Linked DNA regions of Arabidopsis thaliana. The protein of the gene in region 2 purifies or fractionates together with the protein of the main gene of each other region. This does not show direct contact. Each region holds a gene or a part of one and is shown on either strand. Other genes may lie near its edges.

Region 1 (3,924 bases), on a different chromosome or scaffold from region 2:
CAAACGACGAGACTGCACTTACAGTGCTCATACCGAAACAATAAAAGTGAACCTAACAAATCTGACATTACTCTAGAAAGTCTTCTGCAGAAACCTAATTGATTAAACTGAGACCGAGGCAGAAACAAAGAACAGATTCATTTGACTTTCTTTATGATGTCCTCGATGACTTCTTCCATATCAAGTGCCTTCATTGGTGCAAATGGACGTTTCATCTCCTACAAAATGAGATAAACATAATCTACATCTTTAGGTCTATGTTAAGATTGAAAGGCAAAAACATATTCATGATTTCTACTCACAATAACACATTTCTCGTAATGAATAAGGATCAAGTTGATTTTCATTCTCATATGCATATAGAGCAAGTGGTGTTATGAGAATTAGTAATAACAATAAACCTTACTCAAACTGAACAAATCATATGCAGAAGCGAGACAAATTGAGATTTGTTTTTATTAGAATGAAAGTTTTTACCAAAAGACTGATGAATGTTTGGCCACCTTCCTCCCGGATCTCAAAGCAACCCCGCCTTGGCTGTTCAAGCACATCAAAAGAAAGAATTAGTAATTTAGAAGAAAATCTTATCAAGTATAATGTGAAAAGTATGCTCTAACGCATTAGTCAAAACGGAGCATTCATGACGATATATTCATCTGCAGTAAAAGCATTACCTTTTCAGGATTAAGAGACACCGTGACGCCAGGAACAGCTCCCTCCAAAGCTTCCTTCACCTGAATAGCTCTTGTCTTGAAAGCATTGCATTGTTTACTTCAATAACATCACAAAACAAAACAAAAAAGAACTCTTGTGAGACATAAGTATAGAAGCAAATTCCATTTATAGAATGAACACGTCCATTACGCATTGCAATTCAGCTAAAGCAAGACAAGAACACAAACAGAAAGCAGATAGTCAAGTCCTCTTCACAAATGCGAGCAAAACATAAACCACTAATCACTCAAACCAAAAACTTATGCAGAATCAAGATGAAAACCTAACACATTGTTCCACCCTAGCAAATAAACCTTAGCTGCTACACACGGACACACAAGTCTCAACACATACCCCAAAGTTGTAGGCTTTTAGATTCAATTTCAAAGAAAAAAACCTAAATTTTTGCTCTTATGATTCCAAACATTATCTCTAAAGAAATCGAAAACATTTACGCAAAAATTACCAGTGTTCTATAACAATCTTGGTTCTCGTAGGGTCCTCAACCTCTGGCTCTTCCTTCTCAACCTCCTCCTCAACGGCTTCCTCTGGCTCTTCAACTTCCTCTTCCTTCTTTCCCTTCTTGGCTCTCCCAGTCTCAATCGCTGAATTCTTCCTCTTAGCCTTCTTCGTCGCCGGCTTAGTGGCGGATCCAGCCGCTTTAGCACCGTTTTGTTGAGTCTGACTTCGAGTTCGACTGTCCATGCTCCGAGTCACTCTAGACGACGCCAACGTCGTTAAAGGTTTCGCCTTTTCTTCTCCATCTGCCTTACTCTTCTTCGGCGGCATTGTACGGACAGCAACAGGGTTTCGTCTTAACAATCTTCTTCTCCTTCTTCTCCGTCTCTGTCTTACCGCTCTTTCTTACTTTTTTGTTGTTTGATATTCCCTTTTGTGTTTGCTTTTTTCTTACCTTGGAAAAGTAATTCGAATAAACGGTAGAGATTTAACCTACAAGGGTTATTAAAAGGTTGACCGTTAGATTGCAGGGGTTATGATTATGTATTCTCAATGCCCAATAGTGCGCTACTGCTGTATCACACGACACATCCACGTGCTTCGAAACGCTGTGGTGTTTTGCCTCTAAAACGCACAACTACTTACCGTTTTGATTGGATAGAATGATTTTATTTTAATTCCACTTCTCTTTTTTACCTACATTATTTTGATTCCAATTCATTTGGCTTTTTCTAAACTCAAAATAAACTGAAACACTTTATCATATTTATTAAGAAATATTGATTTTCTGATACATAAAGTAAGATAAAAGTCTGTATATCCTTCTAGCTTTTTAGCATTTTGGTCACTGCGGACAATTTTAAGAGATTTTACTAAAAGTATCGTCCAATCCTTTTGTAGGTTTTTATGACTCAAGCCATCAATCCAAATTTCCAATATATGATGATAGTTGAAGTATTTGGATGTAGTAATGCTAAAATGTAATATGTTAATAAGTCGCATACTCATGGTGAACAAACATTCATCCATTATGGTGACATTTTTGTTTGTTTGTTTGTATAATAAAATGCAGGGGGAAGCTTTTGCAACAATGTGTGCATGTTGGAGAAATCTCAGTTAGCACTTTCACAACCAAGCTCCATGGGAAGATCTTTTGGACCTAAATATTTTAGAACTTGTTCATCACATCACAACCATCATCTTCAGTCTTCACTGTTACTCTATTTGTCTGTCTTTCACATATTAGCAAGTTGGTGAAATCTTGATTGGTTGATCCTGATCCCATAACAAATTACACTAATCTCACACAACGACGAACCCTCTTACAAGGTTGGTAGCATGCTAAACGTATGGAAAAATTTGGGAATCTTTTCTAAAAAAATAAGAAACTTGTATATATTTTTTTTCAACACAAACTTGTATTCTAAATCTACATAACGATGTAAAAACAAGTTGAATTTGTGGAATCGCTAACTATCAATGACGGGATCCAAAACCGGTTATTCAACATCGTCTTGTAAATTTATTATCCAAATTTCCATTGTTTAAAATCTGGTCTTGTAAATTTATTATCCAAACATAACCCAACATCGTCCATTATTATCCAACTCTGTCTAAACACTGAAACAAGAAACCGAACATGATCCATATGTCTAGAGATTTTTGAACTGTGGGTACCAAAGAAGGATCAATGTTCTAATCTCAAGTCTCAATCTAAAGTTTGAAGTCGTGGGTACCATTTTTCATCAACCAAAACATAAGCCAATCCAATCCAATCTTTTGTCTAAAGGATTGGTTACTTCGAACCTCAAGTCTCTGACTATTTTAAGCCGTGGGTAACTTGATCTTTGTCTAAAGACTGACACAAGAGACCGAACATGATCCATATGTCTAAAGATATTCAAGCCGTGGGTACCAAAAGAATCAATGTTGGAATCTCAAGTTTCAGTTCACTCGAAAGACTAAAGTTTAAAGCCGTGGGTACCATTTTCCTTGCACCAAACATAACCAAATCCAATCTTTTTGACAAAAGATTGGTTACTTTCGAACCTCGAGTCTCTGTCTAAAGACATAATGTTTTAAGCCGTGGGTATTCTTTTGTCTAAAGATTGAAACAAGACACCGAACATGATCCATATGTGTAGTGAGTTTCAAGTCGAGGGTACCAAGAAGGATCAACAGAAACTTGTATTATAAATCTACTTAACGATGGGAAGACAAGCTGAATTTTTGGAATCGCTAACGATCAATGATGGGATCCAAAATCCGGTTAGTTTAACATCGTCTTGTAAGTTTATTATCCAAATTTCCATTGTTTAAAATTATAAGTCTCTGTCTAATGACTTATAATGTTTTAAGCCGTGAGTGTTTCTTTATCTAAAGATTGAAACAAGAAACTGAACATGATCCATTTGTCTAGTGATTTTCAAGCCGTGTGTACCAAGAAGGATCAATGTCGAATCTCAAGTCTCAGACTAAGTTTGAAGCCGTGGGTACCATTTTCCGTGCACCAAACATAACCCAATCCAATCTTTTGTCTAAAGGATTGGTTACTTCGAACCTCAAGTCTCTGTCTTAAGACTTTCTTAAGCCGTGGGTAACTTGATCTTTGTCTAAAGACTGAAACAAGAAACCGAACATGATCCATATGTCTAGAGATTTTAAAGTCGTGGCTAACAAGAAGGATCAATGTTCACTCTCAAGTCTTAATCTTAATACCAAAGTTTGAAGCCGTGGGTACCATCTTCCTTC
Region 2 (3,924 bases):
ACGAGCTTATAATAGAGATGGTGTCTCAATATTCAGACTTCAGAAATCAACACCCGGCATATATTATGGCCGTTACGCATTCATTATTCAAAACGAGACAAGTTTTTTTAACAATTTGGCCAAAACAACAAAGGCTGTGTTTTTTTTAAGGTTACAGTAGCAACTTCCATAAAAGTAGCAGAGCAGAGATGTATCTGTCAGTTCTTCCTTCCCTCTGATAAAATAATGTGGTATCCGTGCCTGCAATTACCACGCAATTACATTCATCATCCACTAATAAAGATAAATTCAGATAGAAGAGAAGAAAGAAGAGATCGGATTTGGACATACGTTGATTTGAAGGGTGCACTGGTGACTCCAACAGGTGTATTAAAGGCGACATCTTGGAATGGACCTGCCATCTTTCCTCGAGGGAACCATCCAAGATCTCCTCCTTTTTTCCCTGATGGACACTCAGAGTACTCTGCTGCAATCTGAGATCGTTCCACACACAAATCGTGTTAAGATTCTCCACAATTCATAACACACATCTATCGAAATATATCTAACCGAAAACTGAAACTTGTAGATGTCGGGAAAGCAATGAACTATGAGGTATTGAATGTGGGTTTTCTATAAGCGGTTACGTACATATCACAGTTAGAGATGGAATAAACAATACTATCTGAACTATCTTAGATTGATGTTTTGATCTCATAGACAAAAAAGAAGAAGGATATTCACCTTTGCAAACTCAGCAGGAGGAACCTTGTCTCCGTTGCTCAACCAACCATCCTGCAACTTTTTGTAGGCCTCGTTGATCTTTCCTTGCTTCTCGCACAAAACATGTCTTGCTGAAACAAAAACAATTGGAGATTTGACTTTAATGCTATTGTACTAATACAAAAGTTGTAAGAGAACTTTTGGATCCATATTTGTTTACCAGTATTTTTTACTCATGAACAAAGGTAACAGGCACAGAAACGAATCCAAAAAACACACCTTTAACATAAGTGCATGTCCCAAGACCATCTGCAGCTTTTCCTGCTTTTCCTTTACCCTTGGAGGGAGCTTCTTCACTACCACTTGCTTGCTTTCCTTTACCCTTCCCACCAGCTTTTGCGTCCTTCCCCATCGAATTAAAACTATAAAAAACAACCACGATTAAAACTTTATTATCACCATCAGATTACAGGGTTTTAACTTTTAACATCACCACACACATCTTGTAAACCCTAAACCCTGAAATAAATCCAGTGAACTTTTCAATGCAGATTTAAAGCCAAATGCAAGTGACTTGGAATCTACTACACTGGAAGCAGATATACAAATTTGTAAACTTAAAAAAATGCTTCAACCCGAAACTTTTGGGGAATTTAATCAAACACTTAGTAAGCTAAGATCCATCAAATTCAGAATGATCAAAACACAAAACAAGATTACAGATTAAAAAATGAGTAATTTAACATTTGGACAATCGAAACGCAAAGAGCCCAATATAGAACCGGTGCGTCCATGCACAAGATAACATCGCAAATGGAAAAACAATTATCTAGACGGAAGATTTAGCGCAAATAACATAAACCCCAGTTTTCAATTTCTAGCCTAAAAATCAGAGAATTGACCAACAGTTTACAAAACCAATCGGAGAAAACACAAAAGGTTACTATTAAAAGTGGAATGAAATATTTGATTGAGAAGCCAAGAAATTTACAAAGTCGAGAACTTTACCTTGAGATTCTTCTTCTATCAGATTGAACGATCGAGCAGAGAGTGAGAGAGAGAAAGAGAGATTTGTTTGCTGAAAAGTCTTGTGGGGATTAGAGATGGAACATTAAACCCATTCATTAATATGGGCTTGGCCATTCATGGTTGGGCTATTAGGCCCAATAAGATACTCTTCTTATCAAATATTTTCTATTTTTCGTAAATTTAATCGCGCCAAAAAGAAAATAAATATTTTTCCTATTTTCGTAAATGTCTGTCTCTGCTTTTCATTTGTAGAGCTAGCTGTCTTTCAGTATCAGAGTGAAATTTTAGGGTTTTACAAAAGGGAGGTTTTTTGCTTCACTCTTTGCTTATTTGGGTTCTGGGTTTTGATTATTTCTACAAAGTAACCACATTTTTCACTTTCCGGAGATGGAGCTGCAAACGATGAAGATAACGAAAGATTGTGTAGTTGAAGTCAGTTCTGAAGAGGAAGGGTTCGAAGGAGCTTGGTTCAGAGCTGTTTTAGAGGAAAACCCAGGGAACTCATCTCGCAGAAAGCTTCGTGTTCGTTACTCGACGTTGCTGGACATGGACGGTTCGTCTCCCTTAATCGAACACATCGAACAGAGATTCATTAGACCTGTACCTCCGGAGGAGAATCAACAAAAAGACGTCGTTTTGGAGGAAGGTTTGCTGGTGGATGCTGACCACAAAGACGGGTGGTGGACTGGTGTTGTCGTAAAGAAAATGGAGGACGACAACTATTTGGTTTATTTTGATTTGCCTCCTGACATTATACAGTTCGAGAGAAAGCAGTTGCGGACTCATCTTATCTGGACCGGTGGGACTTGGATCCAACCAGAAATTGAGGTATGAGGTTGATTTATTCGAAGTGGGTCTTTGCTTGAATGTTTGAAACTGTCTCTTTGTTGCTCTCTTTCAAAAAGGTTGAAGCTTTAATCCGTTTTGAGTCTGGTTGCGTGTTATGGTTAAAGGTTTCAGCTTTAGTTTCAAAAGGCTGAAACTTTTCTCTATTTTTCGTTTGTTGAGTGTTATAGTTCCATGGTTAAGAGATCCTTTCTTAAATCCGGTGTTGTTTTTGCTTGTAGCTGTCAAAATTTTGTTGCTTTCTTTGTTCTTGTTATATGCTATGATTAAAATTATTAAAGGTTTAGTTTTGGTTGTGAATGCTTAAAAGTAGACTTTAATTTGTTGTCTTTGAAGGAATCGAATAAGTCCATGTTTAGCCCCGGGACAATGGTGGAAGTGTTTTCTGCCAAAGAAGCTGTGTGGTCCCCTGCAATGGTAGTCAAAGAGACTGATGTGGATGATAAGAAGAAATTCATTGTCAAGGACTGTAATAGGTACCTGAGCTGCAATGGTGATGAGGCGAGACCAACCAACATTGTTAATTCGCGCCGTGTTAGACCCATACCGCCTCCTTCTTCAGTTGACAAGTATGCATTGTTGGAATCTGTAGAGACGTTTTCTGGTTTGGGATGGCATAAAGGGCAAGTGAGGAAAATTCTCTCTGAGAACCGTTACACGGTTAGATTAGAGGCTACACAGCAGGAATCTACAATAAGACACTCAGATCTTAGGCCTTTCATGGTGTGGGAAGATGGAGTTTGGTATAACGATCTAAAGGTATCAATTACACTAGTTTCAATCAACATTCTGACAGTTTTGGTTTATTGGTATGAATGCTTTATGTTTGTTTCTATTTTCAGCAAAAACCCATAAAAGAAACTCCTCCAACCATCTTGAAAAGGAAGCCAATGCGCTCTTGTTCTGCTGCTAAGTCAATGACTCCTACGAGTGCCACAAAGCATTTGAGAAGTTTCCTGAATTCTAAGGAAATTAGCGAGACACCCACTAAAGCAAAATTTGTATCTGTAAGTTAGACACTCACTAGTTTCCTTTGCTTTCGCCATGTCTTTGATTATGCTTAACATATCTGCGTTACCTGAAATTAGGCCACTAGAGAATTAGGAAAAAACAAGGCTGATGCTGTGATGAATGACAAAACTCATCTGCTCATAACCCCTCAAGAAACATCAATAGGTAAACATAATCTTCCTTAACTCATTGTGTTTAGTTTCTACATCGCTTAATACTGATCTTTAATGTCAATGTGAATCTGTTTCACATGTACCCCAGCCCCGGTCATAACAGTCACACCATTGAAACAACAAGATGCTGAAACTGAAGGAAAAAAATCCCCAAAGAAGACAC

Evidence for each region.
Region 1: the proteins of AT1G26550 (region 2) and AT4G31360 fractionate together in Arabidopsis thaliana (co-fractionation; one large-scale study listed by BioGRID). This does not show direct contact.

Annotation. Positions count from the first base shown.
Region 1 is NC_003075.7:15,219,524-15,223,447, reverse strand, and holds the start of AT4G31360 (selenium binding protein), read right to left. Parts: upstream 1,606-3,924; 5' UTR 1,504-1,605; coding exon 1,181-1,503; intron 772-1,180; coding exon 675-771; intron 538-674; coding exon 478-537; intron 219-477; coding exon 138-218; 3' UTR 1-137. Other genes in the region: AT4G31355 (uncharacterized protein), read left to right, coding at 3,626-3,751.
Region 2 is NC_003070.9:9,168,990-9,172,913, reverse strand, and holds the start of AT1G26550 (FKBP-like peptidyl-prolyl cis-trans isomerase family protein), read right to left. Parts: upstream 1,797-3,924; 5' UTR 1,711-1,796; intron 1,125-1,710; 5' UTR 1,115-1,124; coding exon 982-1,114; intron 834-981; coding exon 724-833; intron 474-723; coding exon 331-473; intron 241-330; coding exon 198-240; 3' UTR 1-197. Other genes in the region: AT1G26540 (Agenet domain-containing protein), read left to right, coding at 2,119-2,559, 2,914-3,336, 3,420-3,584, 3,666-3,753, 3,850-3,924.